2 linked regions of the Saccharomyces cerevisiae S288C genome follow. The protein of the gene in region 1 interacts with the protein of each later gene in a pairwise test. Each region holds a gene or a part of one and is shown in the gene's direction. Other genes may lie near its edges.

Region 1 (5,222 bases):
TAGAGATTTCTCTTTACTAGATCCTATGGTTTGGTTTATTAATTTAAATTGCGATACAAAGCTTCTTGACGTAAATATCGAACCAGAGAAAAATGACGTGATGATCAAAAGTTTTGAAGTGATATTTAAGAAGATAGAGAATAAGTTAAAGTTGTTATTGGAGGAGAGAATTGGCATCGAAACAAATATGCTGGGAGATAAACATGTTCAGCCTTCTATCAACGAAAAAACTTCTCCCGCACTGGTGATACCTACACCCGACGCAGAGAATGAAATATCAAAGGGCTGTGGTGCTGTTAGTGGTAAAGACAAGACTGACATCCCACAAAAAAACTCAGATTTGATAGTACCAACTTTTTACGATGAAGCAAACTTAGAGAATACGACCATTGTCGCTGCTACTCCTTCACCTACAAAATTTAGCGAGGATAAAGCTCTTGACGAACAAACTCAGCTGACCATTTCAAGTTATAGAAGCTCGAGTTCCGGGTCTATGGCTTCCGAGGACAGTACTAATTGGCGACATAATTTCCAACAAGAACTAAGCGAAAATAGTGAAGTAGCAGGAGCTGGATCCTCAACATTACCCTCGTCATTAACTTATAACTATATAGAAACTATTCCAGAGAACGAGGATTTAGAACTTTCTAAGGACGCTTCTATTTCTAATCCTTTTATGATCACAAAAATAAGAAACGTCAACAAGAAACTGAGCGAAAACTTACTTGAGGCCAAACGTACTAGCTGTGGAGATGCCAATAAAAGGGGAATGCCCAACGAAAGACAGCTTTCAAATACAGAAAAAAAGGAACTAATAAAGCTTCAGCAAACCTACGGTAAAAGAAACAATACCGTGGACATGACCATTCCACGAAATTCGAAAAAAAAAGTAACTGATAATTATATAAAGAAAGCATCCTGCATGCACAAAACAAGGCCGAAACTCATGCATTTTTCCGAGTATACCAACAACTACGTCTATACCCTGAAGAATGAAAAAATTGTTAAGCATGACAGCGATAACTTTGCCAAAGAAACTCTGTGGTTACGATCGAGGGACGATGCCACAAGCCCTTCTTCCAGTCTTTTGCAAGCCTTGCGAGCGCATGTGAAGAAACCGGGACACATTGAAGCCACGACAAATGAATGGTGCCTCTTCACGCCAGACAGCCCCTGATGATCGGGTGCACTATCACCACTCAGCACAATAGATTACTTCATAATAGACCATTGTTTGTAACTCATGGTAACCGCACCCTGTTGCCCGCCCTGCCTCTCTTCCAGTTTCCGCACCTTGAAATTTCCGTTTTGGGTCAACTTAAAAATGCTCTAATATTGCATTGTTACGACATCCTGTTGTCATGCGACTAAAGGTATTTATACTGTATATATCTCATTCATCTGATTCTGTGAGGTTGCATAATTGAATATTTATTTCAAAGGAGCTAGAAGACAAAGATCACTCCACATAAATATACGGGGTTCCTTTATATATTAGTTCATTTTTTTTTTCAGTTGTCATACCCAAACTATTATTTCCTTCTGAACTCCTTTAAATATATCGTTCTTCCAAGCTAATTGATAACAGTAGTAGCATCACAAGAGAAAAAAAATGCGATCTTATATGCAGATTCTTCAAAAATTTGCCAAATTTATTGGGCCAGGGATATTAGTCAGTGTGGCTTATATGGACCCAGGAAATTATGCCACTAGTGTTTCCGGTGGTGCTCAATACAAATATACCTTATTATTCTCTATTTTTATATCCAACATTTTTGCCGTACTTTTGCAATGTCTCTGTGTGAAGCTGGGTACTATCACTGGCTATGATTTGGCTGAAAACTGTCGTCATAATTTGCCTAAAAAGCTAAACTATACCCTTTACCTTTTCGCTGAAGTGGCAATCATTGCTACTGATCTGGCCGAGGTTGTAGGCACTGCCATCGCTTTACAAATTCTTTTCAAAATACCACTAACTTGGGGTGTCTTATTAACGGTGCTAGATGTTTTGGTAATTTTAATGTTCTACACACCAAACGGCCAGTCCTTAAAAAAAGTTAGGGTTTTCGAATTTGGCGTTGGGATTTTGGTCATTGGAACTTGCATTTGCTTTGTTTTGGAGCTGTTTAAAGTTTCAATCCCAGACAAAGCTGAATTGTTTAAAGGGTTTTTGCCTTCAAATATCATTTTTAAGGAACAACAAGCTCTTTACATTTCATTGGGTATCTTAGGTGCCACTGTGATGCCTCATTCATTATACTTGGGCTCATCCATTGTTAAACCAAGATTGCACGATTACGATTTGAAGAAATACGGTAAGGTTAATGCCCGCCCAAGTTTAAGCGCTATAAAATATACGTTAAACTATGCGTACGCTGAACTAATCATTTCTTTGTTCTTAATTGCCACCTTTGTTAATTCCGCTATTTTAATTGTTGCAGGTGCTACTTTATCAGGCCAACCTGAGGCAGAGGATGCTGATTTGTTATCTATTTACAAATTACTGGTCCACTACATATCTCCTGCGGCAGGGTTAATCTTTGCATTGGCCATGTTATGTTCTGGTCAATCTGCCGGTATCATCTGTACACTTGCCGGGCAAATCGTTTCTGAGGGATTTTTACAGTGGTCTTTACCACCTTGGGCCACAAGATTGTGCACCAGATTGATTGCCATTGTACCATGTTTATTTGTTACTTTAACCATGGGGGAAAAGGGAATTTCAGATATTTTGAATTTTTCTCAAGTGGTCTTGTCCTTAATTTTACCAATCGTATCCGCTCCTTTAATTTATTTTACCGCAAATAGAAAGTTGATGGTTGTTCATGACGAAAATGGTGTGGTAAGAGCACCTGCCGATGTTAACGCCATTGCTGATGAAACCACTCCATTGAACTCCAAGCACAGTAAAATAGTTGATTTTACTAACAGTCGTTTGTTGACCTATACCTCTGTTTTCGTATGGGCTTTAATCGGGAGCTTGAATTGCTATTTGGTGATTTCCTATCTCTTAGGTGCCGACATCCATTTTTAATGGAACCTATTTATTGTCAAGTGTGTCGTTTTCTCTCGATTCTTGTTTTCTCTCATTTCTTTATTCTGCATAATACAACCCAAGTATATACTTACGTATGCATAGCCTTCAGAACAAATGCATACTTTATCTAATATCAAAATATAAACATACATTAGTCAAAAAAGACTTGATGAGCTTTCATGAAACTAAAACAAAGATAATTCATTATTTATCTTTGATTCCACTACCGCTGACACTATTTATTTCTTGTGTTTCCGTTTACGACCTGGTTGCGCCCTTACCACAGGTATGCTACCATTATAGTTTGTTTGTAATACTGGAAAGGCCCTTACATTGTTTATAGGAACCTTGGAAACCTTCTTTGCTAAGATAACCTCCTTTAGTATTCTTTTCACTTTGAAGTATAATTCTCGTTCCTCCGTAGTAGGCTTCAAAACTTTATTTAAAATCCTCTCCTTTCTAAGTCTTTTAAGTTTTAAGAGAGAGTCTGAAACCAACTTATCTGGTGTGCCATTTCGAAAGTTCTCAATTTCGTCATCTCCAATGTAATTAGATGGTGTCCAATTATATAAGTTTTGAAGCTTGATTATGAATTGTTCCTTATTCTCAGTACTCTCTGAATTTGCAGAAGCGATAGTCGCATCATTATCATTATCACCACCATCGTCCTGAACGCCATTGCTTTTGCCGTCAACATTTTTGTTGTTTTCATCGTTCTGCTTCCTGTTTATGCCTTCTTCATTCGTGTTCAGTAATTCTTCTTGTTTTACTTTCTTTTCATTTTTTTCATACAAGTCCATATAACCAATTCTTTCAAGCCAAATAAGACCCCTTGTTGTCGAATCCACAACGGTGCCGTTTTCATTAAAGGAAGGTGCCCAAGAATTATAATTACCATATTTTAGCCAGACGGTTGTAGGTAAAGCATACCAATTTGGATGCAAAAATCTAGTCATCATTTCAGTTGGTGGTAACGTAGGGTCCGGAATATTACTAGTATTAGCGCCTACAAATCCTAATCTTGGAGCTTCGTTTTCTATATCAGTTTGAGGTAAGACGTTGTTTATTTTGAAGTTTGTATTAGGAAGTTCATGAGGTCTTTTGTCAAGATTAGATTTAGAAATTATCGAAGAAAAAAGGTCCATATCCTTCGTTCTTATCTGATATGTTTGAGAAATCGGCACTGTGTAATTCATAGAAATCTTAATAAAATCATAAGAGATTATTTTGTCTAGTTCTGTTGCATCGTCATCGTCGTATTCATCCATCTCGTTTCCGCTCAACAACTTACCACTTCTTGATTTAATATTATTAGTTTGCGTTAGAGCAATTCCTATCCTACAACATTCTCGTAATAAAAGCTCTGAAGAAAATTTGTAGAACTTGTCGACTAATTGGTAGTTTCTTGTACCCTGAGGATAAAAGTGAATGAGGATTGTACAAACCAGCTTAATGTCGTGATACAGCTTATAAAACCCACCTTGTATGGGTTCGTACTCTCCATTTTCAAACCTCTTATTGATAGTTGTCAAAACTAATTTATCTTCATTACGTATCAAACCTTCAGAGTTACTTCTATTTTTAATGAATTTACAATATGATTCATATATCTTATCCGGATTTTTCTCAAAGAACTTGGCTGGAAAACTTTCATCTACTACATGACATTTCACAGAGGCAGCATTCAAAATGGATTGAACATTTACCAAAAAATCTACTAGTTTATTTCCACCTACACTTTCTGTCATAATGAAAACTTTCGATTTTCAAAATTATCTCTTATTTGATCCCGACTGATGATGATTTTCTTCGTCTTCGTATTTCTATCGTCCATGCCTTATGGCGCTGTTTTATTTTCTTAATTGTTTTTTTAATAATTGCAACTTAAAAATACGGGTAACGGAAAAGGAAGATAATAGAAGTTGCATGAAGTAGCTGAAGAATAATTAGTTCTTTCGGGTTGAAAATAATAATAAATAAAGTCTTTATATATGAGTATGTGGTATGACTATTCAAACAGCATCTGGATTTCTTCAATTCTCCTTTTTCTTCTCTCGTCTTCGTCTGTGTCCATGGCCTCACCGATGGTTCTCTTCTTTTCTTGAATGCGTAGCATTTTTTCTTCTATGCTATCTTGTATGATAAATCTCATAACTTTGACGCTGTTTGTCTGGCCAATTCTATG
Region 2 (3,791 bases), on another chromosome or scaffold:
TTCATCAATTTCCTCCTTTAGTTCATCTGTATCTGCGATCGGATTATCTCCAATAAAATTATAGTGCTCAAAGAATGGTTCTGCAAGACTATCCAGCAAAATCTTTTTAAGCTTTTCAGTTCTTTTATCGCGTTCTGAATTATTTTTCTTGGGATCTCCAAGCATTAGTTTATTCAAATTGAACAACGATATCATATGAAGATCCGAAGCTCTCTCGGAAGTATTTTTCTCCAGTGTTTCGTTTAATAAATTCAGAAGACTTTTCAAGTTCGCTCTTTGTTCATTCAATAGATCCATAGAGGGTCCATGGTGCGGTAAAAAAGTTTCATCTTCCTGATATGCCCTCTCATTGAGTAAACTGCTATTGCGGAGATTGCTAGTTTGATCCTTGAAGGGTTGTCTAAAACTTGGCCTTTCAGGACTTATGTTGTTTCCATAGTCGCCACGAAATAAAGAATTATTATGTTTGAGCAGCGGATCTTGCTCAGGTAAGATGGAAGGTAAATAAGCCAACGAGTTGGCTCTATGGAATGTTTGAGAATGTGTTGGATCCAAATTAGGGAAAACTGGGGTGCCCGGTTTTTTGTTAGATAAAGCAGAAGATGCTGCTGAGGAGGAAGAGGTATTATTTACAAATGCATTTAAAGTAGCGGAAGTAGTGTTCCAAATCTGGCTCTTATTTCTGTTCATTAAATGGTTTGCAGAAGCCGATGTCCTTGGTAAACTGCTCCTACGGCCCGCAAACTCTTTCAAAGGAGGCAAATCATCTGGAGTAGGCTCCAGTAGCATACTTGGGTTTTGTATTATGATTTCCAATGATCTCTTCAAAATCCTCAATCTGACTGCCAGGGAATTTGGCGAAAGTGGATTGTACGAATAAGAATGAGTTGATTCATTCGGAAGAAACTCTAACTCCTTTATGTCTTCATCCGTTAAGGGCGATGATACGGTTGAATCAACGGATGAAGAAGCTGTCGAAGGAAGTCTTGGTTGTTCAAAATCTAAAGGAGGTGGGGGTTTAGTCTTCCGAAAGCTCGCAAATGTATCTCTTAAACTTTGCTCGAACTCATCACCTTCCTTTTTATTCGGGGTTGAAACGTCACTTAAAGACGTATCGTAATTTTCTAATTCATTGTCAATATGGTTCTCTTGATCGGGGCTCGGTGGTGTCTGCAAAGATGCTACAGAACTGCTCGTACCTTTATGTGTAATCGCATGTTTTTCCTTCAAATTAACAAATGAATGTTCTGAGAGGTTGGAAGCACCGATGTAGGGCATTACTTCTTTGATGTTTACCTATATGCAAATTAGGGAGAGAACAAAACAAAACAAAACAAAACAAAAATAGAAGAAACAGAAAAACAAAGGTGAAAAAAAACAAAAGAGGGAGATGACGAACGGAAACTTTCACTCAATTGGTAAGCTACTGTTTCTAATTTCTGACTTACCAAAAAGATGCAAAATAACTATAATATACCGCTGTTGTGACGATATCCGGGGTTTCTAATCTTTTATGAGCTTTTGTATAGCAAAAAGGTGCAACGACGCCTGAAACAAAGGAAAAGAAGAGGATAATAGGAAAATAATACAAAAAACTGCACTTTGTAACGTTGATTTCCTTTTCAACGAATGCTATGTTGTGGTTAGCGACCTGCCCCTTGCCAAATCTTATTCACCACTTCCTTAGCATGTAATCATTTACTTAAAAAACCCTTGTTTTAATATTTATTACCCGCCATGGAATAAAGCACGTGACTCAATAATACGACGGGATCTTTCTGGTTTTGTGACACATGGAATAATATCATAGTAATAAGTATTATACATATACATATATATATAGATATAGATGTGGAAAAGGAAGTTTCAAATCATTTTTTATTTTCGTTCTTGCCACGAATAAGTGTTGTTATAGTGTAGGGAACAAAGGTACATTATACAAACAATAACAACAACAGGAAATGAGTTTTACAGGTTCATTAGCGCTGGCAGGTATTGGTGGTTTGGTGTACAAGTTTGGCGGAGGCCAATCGTATGAAAAACTGCCATATGTCAACATCCCCTTCAATCAGTACTTGGATAAAGTTTACAAGAAGCACTTCAGCAAAGTTATGAGCCGTACCAGATACGTGCTAATGAACTTTTTCAAAGATGCATTCACAGGAGGTGCATTCATGTACCCGTTCAAAGGGTTTTTAGAGTTCAACACCAATAAGAGCAGTTACTCAACGACTATGTTAGGTATATTATCGAGTTACTTGATAATGTTTGCCCTGGTAAGCTTTGTGTATTGGGCTACAATTACGCCAATGTACACAGCTTTTTTGATTGTGCTGGGCCCTATTGGGCTTTTCATTGCCATTTTTCATTCCTTTTTGCAAGCAAATGTTTTCACTTTATTGTTTATGAGACTCAGTCATTTTAATAATCATTTAGTGGAGGTGTGCTTAGAGAAGAATGGTTTAGAGGAGAATTTGAGTGAAGTCAAACCAATCAAGTACTATGCACCTATTAACTCGATATATTTCTGGGCTTACTATTTCCCATTCAAGTTGGTCAAGTACATGTTAGGCCTGTCGGTTCTTTTTGTGCTGTTGGTTATATCTTTTTTCCCACTTATTGGACCAATCCTTTTTCATATTTTAATTTCTCCTTTCATCACTCAAATTTACTTCACGAAAGTTTTACGTTTACAAAATTTCGACAACATACAAAGACGTGAAAATATTTATCTCCACGCTGGCCAATATGCCTCATTTGGTTTCTTGGCCGGTTTGATTGAGTCCGTGCCCATTTTAGCGGGCTTTGCCATTTCTACAAATACTATTGGTAGCGTTTTATTTAACCTTGATCATCCAATGGTCCCTGAAAATTTAGTAGAAACTCAAGCTGAAATTGAAGCAGCACCACAAGATATCAATCAACAACCGAATCAATAAATTGAAAAAAGTTCACCATTTCTCTCCCCAGATTAAAATTACCTAGCTATACATACTAACCTATGTATATATACACATATATGTATATTATACTCTAGAAAATATTTTTACCGTTCTAAATTTCTTTGTCCTTTGTTCTATCAACTCTCTTTTTCCACATGGTGCGTTCACGCAGAAGAAAATAAATATGTTATTTTTTTGGTTTATTTTCTGCTTATCTATTTACTTTTTTACTATATTTTTATTTATTTATTCTTTGGTTCCCTTCGGTTTCGAGTTTTCATCATAAATTATATCCTCCAACATATCACTAACTTTACTTTCCAACACATCTTGAGATTTTTTATCTTCACTGATATACGAATCTAAAGCTAGTTTATTTTTGGCCAGTTGATGAATCTTTTCCTCTATGGAATCCTTAGTAATTAAAGTGGTTATATTAACTTCCTTTGTTTGTCCCACACGATGTGCCCTATCAGCAGCTTGTCTGTCATCATGTGGGTTAAAACTTTGATCGAATATAATAACATTATTTGCGCACACCAAATTAATACCGAATCCACCTGCCTTTGTTGATAAGATGAAAATGGGAATATCCTTATCTTCATAAAACTTATCTATTAGTAGTTGTCTATCATTCACTTGCGTGGAACCATCTAATCTTAAAAATTTATAATCTAAGGTGGACAAAACCATCTCTAGAATATCCAGGACTTGAGTGAATAAGGAAAATATCAGCACCTTTTCCTGTTTGTCAACAATGATTGTTTTCAGCAATTTTTTCAAAGCGTCTATCTTCCCAGATTGCATCCACTCGTCATTATGAAGTTGGTATTTGGATAACGTGTTCGG

Evidence for each region. The genes of interacting proteins can lie anywhere in the genome.
Region 2: the proteins of SMF3 (region 1) and LDS1 interact in a protein complementation assay, tested with the Saccharomyces cerevisiae proteins (one large-scale study listed by BioGRID).

Annotation. Positions count from the first base shown.
Region 1 is NC_001144.5:208,324-213,545, reverse strand, and holds SMF3 (putative divalent metal ion transporter SMF3), read left to right. Parts: upstream 1-1,612; coding exon 1,613-3,034; downstream 3,035-5,222. Other genes in the region: mismatch repair protein MLH2, read left to right, coding at 1-1,177; RSC58 (Rsc58p), read right to left, coding at 3,277-4,785; DNA helicase RAD5, read right to left, coding at 5,046-5,222. UniProt on the Saccharomyces cerevisiae protein: Has a role in controlling the cellular iron ion levels. Mobilizes vacuolar stores of iron in conditions of low iron levels.
Region 2 is NC_001133.9:117,712-121,502, reverse strand, and holds LDS1 (Lds1p), read left to right. Parts: upstream 1-1,961; coding exon 1,962-2,939; downstream 2,940-3,791. Other genes in the region: serine/threonine protein kinase PSK1, read right to left, coding at 1-1,278; DNA-dependent ATPase FUN30, read right to left, coding at 3,189-3,791. UniProt on the Saccharomyces cerevisiae protein: Involved in spore wall assembly.